4 linked regions of the Cricetulus griseus genome follow. The protein of the gene in region 3 purifies or fractionates together with the protein of the main gene of each other region. This does not show direct contact. Links are inferred from orthologs where the notes say so. Each region holds a gene or a part of one and is shown on either strand. Other genes may lie near its edges.

Region 1 (4,068 bases), on a different chromosome or scaffold from region 3:
CCTGTCAGAGCCCCCAAGAACAGGCCAGTACAGATAGATGCTTGAATACTAACAGTAATAATTCATTAATGATTACATATATGTATTGTGGTCTTTTATATTTGCATGTGAAGGGATAAAAAAGTAGGGGAAGCGTCATGAATATCATTGGCTGGACTAATGTAAACAAAAACAGGGGTCAGGTTTTAAGGAAGATTATTTGTGACTTGGGTTAAAATTGTCAGTGTCTCCACCATACAAGGATTCTTGAAACTGTTACTCAAAAAAAAAAAAAAAAAAAAAAAAAAAGGTTCTGGTGAGGACAAACTCACTGCAGGACAATACAAGAAAAACACTGTTTAAAGTAACTCTTTTATGAAGTCACAGTGAAAAAATACTTTTTAAAATTATTTAAAATTAGTGTTAATATGCAAGTCATTTTGACTACATGTGTCAGGTTAGTCTATAATTAAGAATTAAGCAGTGCAAATTGACATTTATAAAACTACATGTATATCCAGTTGTCAAGAAAGACCTTCCTAATCGTTGAGACTGCATGGTTCTGTGTAGCACAGCCTTTCACATATGTGACAGGATGGGAAGGTTTTTTTTTTCCCCCTTTCTTTTTACCTGGAATGAATTTTTGCCATTTCTGATCCACATTGTACTTCACACAGTGATTTCCTGAAGGAAATATAATGATCTGTTCATCGAAGAAGAAGACATTGTTGGCCACGTACGACCGAAGACCAAAAACATGCAGCGCCTGAGCTACGACGGTGGACATGGTACCTGTCAGAAAGTGCTGCTGAAGATAAAGCAGCGGCTGGTGAGAAAGAACTGCATCTCCCGCCCCCGCCCATGGCCCCGCCCCGCCCATGGCCCCGCCCCGCCCAGTCCTGGATCCGCTTTTGGCCCGCCCCTCCCTAACCACAACTCACCCCTTCATTGCCCCCCCCCCAGACTCCTCTCCTCGTCGCCCCTCCCCCAGGCTCCTCCTCTTGTCCCCCCTCCCCCCGCCCACAGCTCCTTCCGCGCTTTGCCTTTCTCTCTTGTTCCCTCAACGACCCCAGGCTCTTCAGAGGACCTCAGAGAAACCTCTCACCTCTTGCTTCACGACCCTGGGTTACGAAACCAAGCGGGGATCCGCAGGTACTCCTCCTAAATATCCCGAGCAACCTAAGCACGCCCAAACACCGGAGCGGTTCCTATAGCAACGAGAAACCGGAAGTGCGGCTCTGCACCCGGAAGCGGAAGTCCGGATCGAAAAGCCAGAGGCTTGTGGAGAAGCTGCCGGCGCGGGTTCGTCTTCAGGGCACGTGGAGTGGCTGTCGCGCCCCGCGGGGCGGGAGATCGCGAGATGGACACCCCTCCGCTCTCAGACTCGGACGCGGAGTCGGAAGAGTCCCTGGTCTCAGACCGGGAGGTAGGCGGCTGCGGGGCTCGCGGGACAGGGCGTGGAACGGGAACTCCAGCTCTCTGGTACTGACGCCCCCGGGTCTGTAGTTGCAGGATGCATTTTCCCGAGGACTCCTGAAGCCAGGCCTCAACGTTGTGCTAGAGAGGCCGAAGAAGGCGGTGAATGACGTGGTGAGCTCGCTCGCGGGTTGGGGTCCTTGGAATGGGGTGTGCATAGGCGCCCTGCTACTTGGGAGACCTACTGTTGCGAGAAAAATGCCCCCTGTGCCTTGAGCTGTACTGGTATTTGAGCTTAGCACTTTGGGCTTGAGAGAGATAAACTCTGGGTTCTCATGAGCACCGTGTCTGACTTACCTAGAATGGCCTGAAACAGTGTTTGGCTGAATTCAGACGGGATCTGGAGTGGGTTGAAAGGCTCGATGTGACCCTGGGTCCAGTGCCAGAAGTCAGTGAAACTCAGCCAACCCCCCAGAACAAGGACCAGAAGAAAGGTGTTAATCCAGAAGACGACTTCCAGAGGGAAATGAGTTTGTATGTTTTGTTATGAGTCCTGTGATAGAGAATCATGGGAAGGGGAGTATAGTATGCCTGCCCCCCTCAGAGACACCGAGGAGTTAGCGCGAACCTTGGGTGCCTCCTGCTTGAAAGAATAGCTCCTTGGTCATCATTTAACCTGTGCCCTGCCTAAGGGCTATTTAAAGTTTGTGTGGGTGCATCCAGTCAGAGCAGACTGCCTAGGGAAGGCTTCGAGGGGACTTTGTAATGATTGGGAAAGAGGTCATACTTTGTATGTTAATGGTACCTTTAATAAGCTTATTGTTTTAAGCTGTTGATTTATTCTTAGAAGTATTTTCCCCTTAAAAATAAGTGTAAAATGAGATTTCTGTTATATGAAATTAGTGGAGTTTTATTGCAGTTTTTGTTTTGTCTTGCTAGTGCCAGAGGGATATTGATAGTCCTGAGTCTAGTTAAGTCCTGAGAGGCAGTAAGAAATGAAGGCCTTTCTTCACCCCTCATTTAACTCCGTCCTGAAATTTCAGCTACCGCCAGGCCCAGGCTGCAGTGCTTGCAGTATTACCCCGGCTCCATCAGCTCCAAGTCCCCACCAAGCGACCCACAGATTATTTTGCAGAAATGGCCAAGTCTGACCAGCAGATGCAAAAGGTAAGAGACAGGCAAGTTTTTTCTCTGGAAAGCCAGGGCTTCACCCTGAAGTATTCAGCTGGTGGTTTTTAAAAAGGATTTATGTTGGCTGTAATCAGTATTTTTTTTTTTTTTTGGTAATTTATTTTACTTTATTTTTTTATGTGTAGTGGTGTGAGGGTGTCAAGATATCCTGTAATTGGGTTTACAAACAGTTGTGAGCTGCCATGTAGAGGCTGGGAATTGAATGTAGGGCCTCTGGAAGAATAGCCAGTGCTCTTAACCACTGACCCATCTCTCTAGCCCCTGTAATCAGTATTTCTAATGGAGAGTCTCTGCTTCAGAGGCACGCCAGTCACTTGGTAAAACGGAGAGAAGAGCTGGAAGAGGTGTGGTCCCTGTGATAAAGAAGGCTTGTATTCCCTTCTTGGCAGGGTTAGTGGCATGGTGTATAGACACAACAGTTTTGTAGTTCTGGGCCCAACGAGAATACTATTGCTTATAGAAAGGTTTTTCTTCTCTGGGCCTCTGTTTTCTAGAAAGTGAGGGGTTGATAGATGGCTCAGATACAGTGTAATTTAGGGTTGGGGGACTTGATCCTCATTTAACTTTGGGAGGAAAAAAACTTCTTGACTCGGAATCCAGGATGTATTTAAATTGTTCCCTTGGCTTCAGTCTTCATCTTAGAGAATTCTAGGTGGTACCCCAAGAAACTAACCTGGAGATAAGCCCAGATTAACCTGACAGTAACACTGATGACTACTTATGCTTTCAGTAAAATGTTTGTGTTTGATGGGAGAGGCAAGGGATCAGTGTGCAGTGACCCCTTAAAGAGGGCACTGAAGTTTAGCCTTGATCTGTAAATGGGCTTGGGAGAAAACAGGTCTTGTGTGACAAACAGGCAGCTTTATATAAGAGAACAAGCGTGCTTGAGGAGGCAGGGCTGCTTTTAAGATCTGCACACTGACAGTTGGTTCCTGGATAAAGGGCTCAGCTTTGGGGCCGCATTGTCTGTATGTGGAAAACTAGGAAAGTACACAAGATCCATGGCTTTCAGAGCTAATGGAATCCTGGTGCCCTGGTCTAGTGTACTCTGTATAATACCTGACAACATCCTGTGTTTTAGATTCGACAGAAGCTGCAGACTAAACAGGCTGCCATGGAGAAATCTGAAAAGGCCAAGCAACTTCGAGCGCTTAGGAAGTATGGAAAGAAGGTAAGAAAGAACACCTGCATGGAATAGGACAAGGCCAGGAATGTCAGGTCTGATTGCTGTGGTGTGATTTGGTTCTTGCCCGGTGTGTGTGTGTTTGGTCCTGTGAGTCTTACTGGTGAAGTGTGTCCACCATAATCCCTGAGTGCAGGTTCACTTGACACCATGGGGCACCATGGTGCACCCAGTATATCAGCAGGTAGCAGCAGGAGTCGTGTTTTGAGATGCATGACTGACCTTGTGTCTGTCTCACAGGTGCAGACTGAGGTCCTTCAGAAGAGGCAACGGGAGAAAGCACATATGATGAATGCCAT
Region 2 (4,284 bases), on a different chromosome or scaffold from region 3:
GATGTCCTGACAGCATGCTCTTATATCCTCAGTTGTAGCTGGATGCTGTGCTAACTCTTCATCATCTATTGAAATCTATTTGTGGGGGAAAGGAATGAAATTTCTTTCTGGACATGTTTCTGGGGCTCCCTTATACCTTCAATCTGTGAACTCACTTCGCTGGCCTTGGAAAGAAAGTCAACAGGATTGGCAGCTCGCAAGAAGTCAGTGACTGAGGTTCGGTGATAAAGAGTGAGGTCACCCTCAGCATAGCCTTCAGCCTTAGGAAGAGGAATCAAGATGGCTGGTTAGACAGTCCCTTTTTGGATGTCAAGCATTCCCAGTTTCAGGACCCATTTCTCAAAACAAAAAAGCACCTTTGGCTTCTTCTTTGTCACCAACTCGGTAACAGTTTTAGCCTGAACTTCAACCTCCTTAAAGGCAAACTTAGGATCGAAGAATTTACTGTCAACCTTGTCAGGAGCCAGAAACCCTAAAAATGGTAAGATAGATCAAAGGTATGCCTTCATAACTAGAAAGCTGTGTCAAGAGAAAGAAGTAGTGATGTCCTACCTTGGCAGACTACAAAAATTTCTGCAGATTCATGGCGAGAGGCCTGGGGCTTCGTGGCCTGGACACGGTGGAACAGCTGCTGGAAGATCCATAGCAGGGGCTGATAGTCACGGGAACGGAAAACTTTTGTGATGAAACAACCACCACGGGCCAAAAAATCACAAGCCAAACGCAGCGCCATCAGTGTCAAGTTAGCTGTAGGACAGAGACAGTAAGAATCTGCAGCCTCAGGGCGTGACACCTCCACCCTCACCTCCAAGCCCCACATTCCTTTACCTTGTGAGTAAGCATCATGGACCCAACTAGCCCCAACATTAGGAGCCCCATCATTGAGTACAACATCAACCTTCCATGTCTTCAGCTCCTTCCTCAGGGCCTGTGAAAAGTAAAGGGTTTAGAGCAACAGAAACAAAAGGGCTAAGAAAAGAATTCCTAGTTCAGTGTTGTCTGGTTGTTTACTTAGTGCCCACCATTGGCAGCATCCTGTACCAAGTACTGGGAATGCAACAATAAACAACATTTCTGTCTTCACCAAGCTTAGAATAAGTTCACTGGGAAAGCGCTTTACTGAAGATCTCTTGTCCTGCTACCAATTCACAGCACTATTTCTACCAGGCCATGGTAGCACATGCCTGTAATCCCAGTGCTCAGTAGGCAGAGGCTGCAAGATCAAGGCCAACCTTGTTCTGTGTCAGTCTTCGCTACATATGTATATAAGCTAGCCTGAAGTACACAGCAAGACCCTGTCTCAAGGAAAAAAGAAAACCTTGATTCTAAGTAAAGCTGGAAATGCACACTAAGATTGTCATGGGTCTTTTGGGAGCATGTGCTTAAAAACCATGGGAAATTGGGAAGTGTTTCACCCTTACAAGGCAATGATGTCAGCACATAACAGGGCAGGAAGGAGAAATTCTTATTACCTGCCTACATCGCTCTGTTGTGATATCTTCCTGGAGAGTCACAACATTGGGAAGAGGCTTGATTGGAACCAGGTCCACTCCTGGAAGAAGTTAGGTCAGTGTATTATTGGGTGGAGGAAGAGGTAGAACAAAGTTAGTACTGCAAACACCCTCTCCCTCTAACACCCAGGAGAGTCACTCACCCACAATAAGACTGGATACAGGCATAAACTTGGCAGCCACCTGCAACCTGTAGAAAGGATAAATTAAAACACCTCCCCCTTCTTTGGCAATGTGATGATTCACCCCTTTTAGGGATACCTATTACATGTAGTGGCCAAATGTCTTTATGCACACATTCTCTACAATCATGAAGCAAACTGCTTGAATTCCAGCACAGGCCTGCATTCCCAGCTCAAAGGGCAAGGCAGTAAGTTCAAAAGTTTAAGGCCATACTAGACAACTTTTAAATTCTCCCTGTCTCAAGAAATAATAAAGCAGATTGGGGTATAACTCAGAGGTAGTGCGCCTGTCTAACATGAGGAAGCCCTTGGGTTCAGCCACAGTTCAGGAAAACTGTCTTCCAAAGTTTCAGAAAGGAACGTACTATAATATATTTAATCTCAATCACCTAATTGCTGTAACGGATTTGGGTAGAGATCCGATTACCACCCCCAAAGCAACTCAAAACCAATCAGGGCCAGGAAGGTGCCACCAAGAGCAGCCCCTGCCAAATGTTACCATCCTCCGGGCGCAGCACACAGGTCCAGCAAGGCCCGGGCTTTTTGCAGGAACTGAAAGCGGCGATTGAGCTGGATCAGTTTGAAGGCGGAGCGCGAACGATAACCTGGGCCGTAGAGAGTTAGTGTAGAAAACAATAACGCCTACGGAAGCCTTTCCTATCAGGACTTCACGGCCTCACACCCATCGGCCCCTCTAAGGAAAAGCAGTCAGTCAGAAAAAGTGGGCCGACTCACCGGTCTCCTTGGCCAAGTGATAGAACTTGTCCCGCCGGCTCTTGCCGACTTTGCCTTTCTTGCCCATGGTGCGAGGGGTGAGATCACTCACTCTGGGGAGAAAGGGAAAGTTGAGAGCATCTTCCCGAAAACTGGGTTCTGCTTCGGTTTCTCAGTGGGCGAAGATCTCACTCACCGGGCACCGAGACAGCCCTGAACTCCACAGGGCTTTCAACACCGGAAGTAGCACATGTAGGCAGCAATCGTACTTCCGCTTCCGCTCGCGGTTTTCTTTTTTGCATTCCTGGCTTTGTTTTCCGCCATTTTGAGTGTGGCCAAAAATTTTGTGTCCGCTGGTCTTACAAGTCAAACGAGAAGCCTAAGAAGGCCGCGCACAATTGCTACTATCCTAGCCTCTAAGAAACAACAGCCAGAAGGCCTGTGTCTCTTCGCTCCCTCCGAAAGCTACTGACGTCCAGCAGCTCCTCTCCCATTAGAGCCTGTGTTATGGTCTCGCCACACACCCCGCCCATTGACCCGGAAGTGTTCTCTGCCGGGTCCCAGGCCGCAGGCTTCCGCCTCCGCGCCTGCGCGGTAGGGCGACTTGGATGCCGGCGGTCTCTGCCGAAAGAGGGAAGATGGCGCTTGATGGGCCGGAGCAGGTAAGGCGGCCGGCGGCGGCGGCGGCGCGCGGGGCGGGGCGGGGCGGCCACCCGAGCTGAGTGCCGGGTGCTTGTAATCGGAAGTGAGAGGTGGCCGAGAGCGAGGGGTCGAGTGGGTGAAGGATGGGTGGACCACGCCAGACGACCCTGCCTGGCACTGGATCTGCTGTGTCAGCGCCGCCCGGGTTGAGCAGGACAGGGCTGGGTAGAAGGAGCTGGGAGCTAGGCGAGCAGGAAGGGCCTGCGGTTGGACCTGGACTCGGGTCCTCCGCTTTGACTTTGTAGAAGTTAAACCTTGGGTTTTGTATAGCTCTTGCCATAGAGAAAAGTGCTCCGTGTATTCATGGCCCCCTGAGCCTCCTGAAAGTCTTCGAAGTTGGGTGGTAATTGCATCCTTTTTTAGTGGATTCAAAAGGGAAGGGTTAGAACCAAGAACTAAACTAAGCCTCCGAAGTTTAAACACACAGACCTCACCCATCGAGATCTGAGGAAAGGGGATGGGATTTTTCTGGCCCTGTTTCTTAAGCCATATGGCGACGTGCCCTGGGAACAGTTTGGCTTAATCCCTTAGTAGTTTAGGCACTTGTTTAACAGTTACACTTGTCTTCAGATGGAACTGGAAGAGGGGAAGGCAGGCAGTGGACTCCGCCAATATTATCTGTCTAAGATTGAAGAACTCCAGGTGAGTACCGACACCAGAGGGAGCTAGTCGAAGATGAGAAGTGATAGACGCAGAAATTGCAAGTCCTTATTCCACTGGGAGGACAGTGAAGAGTCCTTTTCCTGTGTTGTTCCCTTGTGGGGTTTTGTTGTTGTTTTTTTTTTTTTAATTTATTATGTGTATGTGTGCATACAATGCTTGTGTAAGTTTATATGCACCATATGTGTGCAGGTGCCTGTGGAGGCCAGAAGAGGGCAATGGATTCCCCTGGAACTTGAGTTACAGGTGGTTATGAGCTACCATGGATACTGAGAACTAAACCCAGGCCCTCTGCAAAAGCTGTAAGCCCTCTAAACTGCTGAGTAATCTCTTCAGCCCCTTTTTGTAGTTAGGAATTAATAAGCAGTGTAAAGCATATTAATAATCTCCTGCCCTAAGTGCCCATTCCTTTGATTTAGTATTTATTATTTGAGTAGTATTTAGTTACGGTTTGTTTGTTTGCTTGCTTTTTAAGACTACCATTTTATTTTACGTGTATGGGTGTTTTGCCTGCA
Region 3 (4,003 bases):
TCCCAAGTGCTGGGAATATCTTTTTAAAGATAAGGTCTCATGCATCCCAGGCTGGCCTCAAACTTGCTATGTGTCTGGGGATGACTCTGAATTTCTGGTTCTCCTGAGTATTGAGATTACAGGCACATTCCACCACAACTGGTTTATGAAGGGATGGAGATCAATCCTAGGGCTTAATACATACCTGGCATCACTCTACCAACTGAATAGACTCTTCCAAGTTCCAGAGTGGGTTTTCTAAAGAGCAAAAGTACTTGTCCACTTTGCTGGAACTCCCCAGTGACATCCATAGACTCCAGATGAGGTTCTCAGTTGTTTCCCCAGGTCCTAGCCTTCTGTATTGTGCCAGCATATGGTAGTCTCCAGTATTCTCTGTGTTTCCCGGAATGCTTCTGGGGACTCAATGCTCCCTGGTCTCTCAGGATACACAGGATCCTTTAGTTACCACCCAGCTTATGGTCACCAATTGCAGGGTTTTTGTTCTCCTGATCCACAGGAGGAGCTGCAAACATTGGTGGAGACAGTCATCAAGGTAGAGGTGGCCAGCTCTAGAGCTAGGAGTAGGAGACTATACAAGCCAATAGTGATCTCAAGGGCCTGTTGTCTCTGATGGGAGGAATGGGCTGCCTTAAGCTCTTGACCTTGATCCCCTTGGTCAGCCACATTTAGATCTGGGCTCCCACCTGTATGAGGAGGTCCTGTGAATTACAAAAAAAAAGCTGGAATCAGGGCTTATAATAAGCAAAGAATGGGACTCAGATGGATTTAGCAGGGGTCACTTCCAGAAGGATACTCACATGGGTTAAGTGGGAAGTTCTAGAATACATCAAGTGACATACAGCATTTGGAGAGAGCTCATCCTAAGGATCTGGTCACCATGTCAACCACATTCTTTCATAGGAGTCTCCTCTCCCCACAGTCCTAGGGTGTAGGAGCTCCAGACTGCTCTATCACCATGTAGATGTCTTTCTTGGTTGGTCTTGGACTTTGGGGAATTGACCTAGAGGCTGAGTCTCTATTATAACCCCAGCTTGGTGGCCCCTTCTGTCTCTAGAGTATGGGTGAGACAGAAGGGTTCAGCTATCGGTGCACTGCCCCCTCCCTATGCTGCATACCTTGCCCACAGCTGAGCAGCTGGGAGGCTATTTATAAAGACGGGTGAGATCAGCGGCAGAGGCTATAAATGTACTGGCCACAGCTAGGCCCCACAGGAACAGTGGTCCAGTGCAACAGAGCTTTGGGCTGCAACACCAGGATGAGTGCCAATGCTGGTGGTAGTGGTGGTGTGGACTGTGGTGGCAGTAGCAGCAGGTATGACCAGGCTGGGGAGACGGAGGTCCCATACACCTTATGAGCTTACTGCCTGTGTCCTCCCTCTTCACCCACAGCTCTCAGACTTCCTGTGGGCCGGAGTCCTCAGGGTCTGAATTAGCTCCAGCCACACCGGCACCTCCGTTGCTACAGGGGTTCCTGGGCTCTGATGAGGAAGAGCAGGAAGATCCCAAGGACTATTGCAGGGGTAAGGCCTGACCTTGGCTGCATGTGGTCCACCAGATTGACACAGGGGTTCAGGACAGCCTGGGAGGAAGAAGTTGCCCAGAGACTAGGCCTCTCATGGGACAGATGATCAGCAGGACTAGGCTATCTTGAGGGATAGGAGAGAGACGCCCTACTCTGATCTATCGGCTTCCTTCTGCAGGTGGCTACTACCCAGTGAAGATAGGTGATTTGTTCAATGGACGGTACCATGTGGTGCGCAAGCTAGGCTGGGGCCACTTCTCTACAGTCTGGCTCTGCTGGGATATTCAGTGAGTAGCTGGGATCTGCCTGTGGGTTTGGTTGAGGCTACCACCATGACCATGTGAGTCTGGCAAAGACTGGTAGCCTATAAGGGTCTCCATATTACAGGCGCAAGCGCTTCGTGGCCCTGAAAGTAGTGAAGAGCGCAGGGCATTACACAGAGACAGCTGTGGATGAGATCAAGCTCCTGAAATGTGTGAGGCGCCTCCCCTACTGTTCCCAGCTTCTCAAACTGCTTTGGGCCTGGCAATGTGGGTGCAGGGCCTGCTGGGGCCCTGCAGAGTGGGGCGGGGCAGCTCCAGCTGGTTCTGCCAAGTAAGAGGACCTGGAGGGCAGACACCTAAAAGAGGCAGTTGCCTCTCTAAGTGGGCCCCAGCTGGACTGGGAAAGGGGGCAAGAAGTGCTTAAGAGGAGTTGAGCAGCTGGTGAGGAACAGGTTGGAGCCATCTGTGGCTCGTTGCCTTTTTGTTCCAGGTCCGGGACAGTGACCCTAGTGACCCCAAAAGAGAGACCATTGTTCAACTCATTGATGACTTCAGGATCTCAGGAGTTAATGGAGTCCGTATCCTTCAAAGGATGAGCAATATGGCAGTCAAAGGACCCCAGACTTCTGGTCTGCACCATGGGACTCAGCCCTTACAGAGACATCCCATGAAGCAACCCCACAATGCCCTTTGAGCATTTGTGTTTTTGAGTTGGGGTATCACAGTAGGACACTGCTGAATGACCCCCAAAATATAAAAGGCTGCTTTTGAGGCCTTTTGAACAATTGGGCAGACAGAAGAGTAAGGCTGGTCTGAGAGGCATCTCTAAGATGATAAAAGGTACCATCCCAACTGGCATACCTTTGCTGGTGACAGAAACACTATAAACAATAAACTGAGACAGTGATAGCCACCAAGATGGTCCAGAGAAAGTCCTGCTTTCCTGACCTCTGCACCACAGGAGCCTAGGCGCTCCTGTGCTGGAGGGTAGGTAAGCCTGTGCATTAGTTGTGTTGCTGGCTGCCCTTCACTCCAAGTCCAGATGTGTGCATGGTGCTAGAGGTCCTGGGCCACCAGCTCCTCAAGTGGATCATCAAGTCCAACTACCAGGGCCTGCCTGTACCCTGTGTTAAGAGCATTGTTAGGCAGGTAGGTGCTGCCCCAGGCTACACAGCTTGGCTGGGTGTGGCTGCTGGGGTTCAGCTATAGCTTTCACCAGGTGCTACATGGTCTGGATTACCTCCATACTAAGTGCAAGATCATCCATACGGACATCAAGCCTGAGAACATCCTACTGTGTGTTGGAGATGCCTACATCAGGCACCTGGCTGCTGAAGCCACAGAGTGGCAGCAGTCAGGGGCCCAGCCCCCATCCCGCTCCACAGGTACCAAGAGCATGTGTGGGGACTCTTGCCAGGACTCAGGCCACAATCCCTACCTGAATTACTATTCTTTTTCTCTCCCTAACCCCTACCCCGTAGTCAGCACCGCCCCCCAGGAGGTCTTGGTAAGTTGTGGCATCCCTCTTTCCCTGTTTCCTTTTCCCATCCAAGGCAGATGAGCCATATCCTCAGGGCTGGGCTCCTCAGCCACACCTGTTCCACTTTATGAACTTCTGCAGTGGCATCTCTAAATAGTTGGGTACATGAGAAAAGAGTGATTATACAACAGTGGGCTATGTGCTCCAAACTGCTTCTGGTGACCCACTATCACTTCAATGGAAAGATACTGTGCCTTCACCAAATGGCTATTTCAGGCCGCTTCATCTAAGCTAGGAGTGGACAAGGAGCAATTTAGGGCAGGCCCACCACATTCTCCCAAACAACAAAGCTTTAGGGAGTAGGAAGATAGGAGGAAAGGCAGAGAAATGGATGAGGGGCTGGCACTAAGGGTGAGACAAAAGGTAGTACCACCATTTCTCTGACACCCCCATAGGAGTTAGTTCTGGGGTCCAGGGCTAGGCAGAGAAACTAAGGAGGTGACCCTCACTCTGGTGGCAGACTGGTAAGCTATCCAAAAATAAGAGGAAGAAGATGAGGCGTAAAAGAAAGCAACAGAAGCGGCTGCTGGAGGAGCGGCTGCGGGACTTGCAGAGGCTGGAGGCCATGGAAGCGGCAGTACAGGCTGAGGGTGAGGGGCCAGAGAGGGCACTGGGTTACTAAGCATGCAAGTGGAATACAGGTCTCTGCTCAAGGTGCACTTCTGCCCCTTCTCCCCAG
Region 4 (4,250 bases), on a different chromosome or scaffold from region 3:
GCCATCACTGCCCGGCCAATAATTTCTTCCTAATGCTACCAGGATGTAATTACAATCACTGAAAAGCAATTAGAATTTAAAGCCACTTTGCTATCCAACAATGTGCCCTGAAAAGGAATTTATAGTTATGAAAAATATTCAAATTATTAAGAATTCAAACTACACAGTATATGTCTAAAACACACAATACAAAATGATCACATTAAGAGAAGGTGTCACACACCTTTAATCCCAGTGCTTGGGAGGCAGAGGCAGGTCAATCTCTGTGATTTTGAGGCCAGCCTGTTCTACATAATGAGTTCCAGCACAGCCACGAGCCAGGGCTACAGAGAAACCATGTCACAAAAGACACCCCCCCACACCCCAAAAAAAGGGCTATAAAAGCAAGGCTTATAAAAACAAGTAAACACATTTAGTGCAGTAAACTACTTAAACGTTCAAAATGGTGGTTGTGGTAGCACAGGACTTTAGTCCCAAAAAAGACAAGATCTCTAAGCATTCAAAGCCAGCCTGATCTACATAGCAAGTTCTAGATCAGCCAGAGCTACATAGTGAGACCCTGCCTCAAATCAACAAAAAGGTTTCTAGGAAAATTCTCTGCCAATGCCTCAAAATGTTTTGTTTTTTTAAAAAAAAGAAACGCCGGTCCCCAAGGAAGAAAAGGAAATTTTCTGAGGAACCTGAAGCTGTTGCTGGCTGTACAAAGAATACAAAGAAAAAATCCCAGAAAGCATCCCAGGAGGATTAGAATGGACATGCTTTGTGGGAGGGGCATACCTTAAGGTGACAGTTCCTACCCATGATAAACCCCAATAAAAACACAAAAAACACAAAAAACACAAAAAAAAAAAAAAAAACACGAAACGCTGGGAGTTGGTGGTGCACGCCTTTAATCCCAGCACTTGGGAGGCAGAGGCAGGCGGATGACTGTGAGTTCCAGATCACCCTGGTCTACAAGAGCTAGTTCCAGGACAGGCTCAAAAGCTACAATTAGGGACATGGATATGGATACATATATATATATATTGCTACTTAAAAAAAAATAGCCATGCAGTGGTGGCACACATCTTTAATGCCAGCACTAAGGAGGTAGAGGCATGTGACTCTCTGAGCCAAGGCCAGCCTGGTCTACAGAGTGAGTTCCAGGACAGCAATGTATACGGAGAAACCCTATCTCAAAAAAACAAAACGAAATAGGGGGGAATGTTGTAGTAGCTCAGGCCTGTGATCCCACCCATCACTAGGAGGTGTGGCTACACGACAAGGCTGTAAGCAGTGACATTCGTAGAGCCTGTCCTCAATAAAGAAAAATGAAAGAACCAAAACAACAACAACAAAAAATTACATTTTGAAAAAAAAAAAAACAAAATCGCAGCAATAAAATATTATTGCACGAATAACCCTAGCTAATTTGGGCACATAATTTACAACCGCTTATCAGTTGATTTTCTAATTCACATATTACTGCTCTCAACTTACACCATTCGTAAAGAACGTTTCTTAACTCAGAATATTTACTTTTCAAGAACTCTTTCTTGAAGAGTATTTTAAAGAAGCGGTCATGTGATACACAATATTACTACTAGAAGAAAACCATTGAATATAATCCCCACTATTTTCCGGAGTAAACAACTTCGGAAATTTCTTCCACTTGAAATTTTGGGAACCAAGGGTCATCTCTGAAGTCTACTTGCAGTGACAAAAAAAATAAAAAAAATAAAAAATAAAACCAAAAAAAAAAAAAAAAAAAACCCAGCGCGGCGACGTTCTTGAAATCTGCCCATTAAGTCAGGGCAGCAAGAAAAATAACAGCTCTCCACCCACAGTGCACTTCCTGCTTCACAAGCTTGAGCATCCACCAGTTCCGAAGCCCCCGGCCCGCCTCTGCCGAGTCTTTTTATCGCGTGTCCGCTGTTGAGGAGAGACGTCTCACTTCACCGCTGCTTGTTAAAAGGGGGAGCGCTCGTCCGGTGAACCGCACGGCCGGACGGCCGCCGGCCGCCGAGCGATCCCGAGCGGACAGCGGTGAACAAGTTTCCCCAGGGCCCCGGGGGCGGCCGTTGGAGCCCCTTTCCGGCGTGGACGGCGGCGGGCGAGCTGCGCGGAGGCGGGGAGGGGGAGGGGAGAGGCGGCGGCGGAGGAGGGGCCGCCGGGGACCAGGCCGGGCCTGGCGGACGCCGGGCCTCCTCCCTCCTCCGCCCGCCCGCCCGCCGGCCGCCCAAACCCGGCCGGGGCGCGCCTCGAGCCCGCGGGGAGGCCGGCGAGTGCGGACCGCGGCCCGGCCGCCGCCGCCCCCCCCGGGAGGAGCGGCGCGGATCGGGGATGGCCCGGAAAATGGAGCCCGGGCCCAGGCGGGGCCGGAGCGGGGCCCGAGCCGACAGACGACGGCGTCGCCGTCAAAGACGCCCCGGGAGGGCGGACGGGGCGCCCCGGCGGGCCGCGCGGGGCCGCCGAGTCCGGGGGACGGCTTACCTGGAAAGCTCCTGTTGTATTTCCCGGAATTTACTGACCACGAAAGACCTAAAAACCTGCTCGATGTCGGCCGCCATGGCGTCCGCTCCGTTCTCTCAACTCCTCCTCGCTAGTCCTCCAGGCTCCCAGCATGCCTCGGGAGGAGGCGCAGCGGCCAATTCCTTTTACCCGGCTCCGGATTGGCCGGCGGGGGCGCGTCCGGCGGGGCACGCTCCGCCCACGAGCCAATCAGCGAGCGGCGCCGCGCTCTCCTGCGCTGTCTCCGAGCCGCCCGGGGGAGAGGTGCTGACGTTTGCGCCGCGCACCAGCTAGTCCGCCATGTTAGTGCCTGACGCAGGCGCCATTACAGGAGCCGTGGCTCCCGGGGCGAGCGCGCCGGACCCCGGCCGCAAGGGGACCCCTCAGGGGCCTTCCCGTAACGAGTCAGCGCCCGCGACCAGGGGCCGCGGAGGGCGGGGACACGGGGCTGAGGGGCGGGGGGCGGGAAGGCTCGCACGCGCCGGCTGCGAGCGCCAAGCGGACGCGGGTCGGTCGGTCGGGTCGGGTCGAGCTGGGAACGGTGCACGGGAGCGGAGGAGCCCGGACCCCGCCGGGAGGTGCGGAGCAGCGAGCCCCACGCTGCCTCGTTACCGCCTGCGCCCGGCCTCACGGACCCGGTCTCAGCCCAGGCGGCGGCGGAGGCGGCGTCTGCGCGACCTACGTTCTAAACAGGGCGCCCGCGGGGCCCCGTCCCGAGCCCGGCCCCGGCAGGCTCGCCCCTCCCCGGCAGGCCGCCCCGTCCGTCCCCCGCGCGGGGCGCTCTGAGGCAGCGCAGGCTCGCACACCCTACGTGGCAGCCCTGAGGAGACTCGGCGAGCCGCGCGCTGGCTCCCGGGGACGCGGAGCCGGGCTGGGCAGCGAGCTCCGGCCGCGCCCTGGGGCGGCGGGCAGGGCGGGGACCGAGGCGGGCCGGCCAATGGGCGGCAGAGCTCGCCGGAGCGGGGCGGAGGCCCGGGGCCACTTCCGGCGGCGGAGCGGGCGGCCGCGTGCGTGCTGGGGTGCGTGCGTGCGTGCGTGCGGGAGCAGCGTGGCGCGGCGAGGCCGGCCGCAGGTGTGTGGACCCCCTCCGGATCGGGCGTGACTTGCCGGGCCTCCCTCCGCGGCCGGTGCGGGTATGCAGACTGGGCGAGCCGGGCGGGCAGGGTCGCGCTGCTGTGCACGGCCCCGAGCGAGGACCCTCTTCCCCTGCTCTCGGTTTCTGTGTGCACCCCCTCCCAGCCCCGTGCCTTCGGAAGACGGGCCCCTAAAGTGGAGCAAAAGCAGATGGGTTTGTCCTTGTCACTAACGGTTCAGCTGGACCAGCTTTCGTGTTTGCTTTCTGCATTTCTTTTTCCTTCCGAGACGGGGTTTCCCTGCGTGGCTCACCAGGCTGACCTCGAACTCACAGACACCCGCAAGCCCCCGCCTCCCGAGGGCTGGGATTAAAGGCGTGCGCCCCGCCGCCCCGCTTGGTTTCCAGTTTGTAAACAAATGTTTGGGAATGCTTTTGCCCGATTCTTGTATCCTCTCCTTCCCTGACTGAAACTCCTACTAATTAACTGACACCCAAGAAGGGAAAGTCTCCCCAGGCCGGCCGCCCAGGGAGTAAGGAAGGCCCTCTGACTCCGTTGCCCTGATACTCCAAGTGGACACAAAGATGTATTGGCTTCAGCTATTCCTTAGAAGTCTTCTCTAGCGTGCATCTGTGTGCCGCGCGCGCGCGCGCTTGCAGTGCCCAAGGAAGCCGGAAGAGGCTGGTC

Evidence for each region. Proteins that work in one complex are often made in the same cells at the same time.
Region 1: the proteins of Srpk3 (region 3) and Ebna1bp2 purify together in Homo sapiens (affinity purification with mass spectrometry; 3 studies listed by BioGRID and IntAct, with this or other methods). This does not show direct contact. The link is inferred for Cricetulus griseus from reciprocal best matches to the Homo sapiens genes SRPK3 and EBNA1BP2.
Region 2: the proteins of Srpk3 (region 3) and Ftsj3 purify together in Homo sapiens (affinity purification with mass spectrometry; 3 studies listed by BioGRID and IntAct, with this or other methods). This does not show direct contact. The link is inferred for Cricetulus griseus from reciprocal best matches to the Homo sapiens genes SRPK3 and FTSJ3.
Region 4: the proteins of Srpk3 (region 3) and Son purify together in Homo sapiens (affinity purification with mass spectrometry; 3 studies listed by BioGRID and IntAct, with this or other methods). This does not show direct contact. The link is inferred for Cricetulus griseus from reciprocal best matches to the Homo sapiens genes SRPK3 and SON.

What each region holds. Positions count from the first base shown.
Region 1 is NC_048595.1:33,706,566-33,710,633, reverse strand, and holds the start of Ebna1bp2 (probable rRNA-processing protein EBP2), read left to right. Parts: upstream 1-1,268; 5' UTR 1,269-1,339; coding exon 1,340-1,405; intron 1,406-1,485; coding exon 1,486-1,569; intron 1,570-1,756; coding exon 1,757-1,929; intron 1,930-2,438; coding exon 2,439-2,562; intron 2,563-3,667; coding exon 3,668-3,757; intron 3,758-4,009; coding exon 4,010-4,068. Other genes in the region: Cfap57 (cilia- and flagella-associated protein 57), read right to left, coding at 610-766. UniProt on the Homo sapiens protein: Required for the processing of the 27S pre-rRNA.
Region 2 is NC_048600.1:119,201,763-119,206,046, forward strand, and holds the start of Ftsj3 (pre-rRNA 2'-O-ribose RNA methyltransferase FTSJ3), read right to left. Parts: upstream 2,801-4,284; 5' UTR 2,604-2,800; intron 2,521-2,603; 5' UTR 2,496-2,520; coding exon 2,429-2,495; intron 2,299-2,428; coding exon 2,193-2,298; intron 1,702-2,192; coding exon 1,655-1,701; intron 1,553-1,654; coding exon 1,473-1,552; intron 929-1,472; coding exon 829-928; intron 748-828; coding exon 553-747; intron 473-552; coding exon 357-472; intron 261-356; coding exon 156-260; intron 76-155; coding exon 1-75. Other genes in the region: Psmc5 (26S proteasome regulatory subunit 8), read left to right, coding at 3,016-3,069, 3,680-3,751.
Region 3 is NC_048604.1:1,965,131-1,969,133, reverse strand, and holds the start of Srpk3 (SRSF protein kinase 3), read left to right. Parts: upstream 1-1,203; 5' UTR 1,204-1,255; coding exon 1,256-1,311; intron 1,312-1,388; coding exon 1,389-1,519; intron 1,520-1,699; coding exon 1,700-1,808; intron 1,809-1,908; coding exon 1,909-1,996; intron 1,997-2,274; coding exon 2,275-2,362; intron 2,363-2,826; coding exon 2,827-2,933; intron 2,934-3,003; coding exon 3,004-3,169; intron 3,170-3,265; coding exon 3,266-3,291; intron 3,292-3,784; coding exon 3,785-3,914; intron 3,915-4,003. UniProt on the Homo sapiens protein: Serine/arginine-rich protein-specific kinase which specifically phosphorylates its substrates at serine residues located in regions rich in arginine/serine dipeptides, known as RS domains.
Region 4 is NC_048597.1:6,128,890-6,133,139, forward strand, and holds the start of Son (protein SON), read right to left. Parts: upstream 2,801-4,250; 5' UTR 2,550-2,800; coding exon 2,473-2,549; intron 1-2,472. UniProt on the Homo sapiens protein: RNA-binding protein that acts as a mRNA splicing cofactor by promoting efficient splicing of transcripts that possess weak splice sites.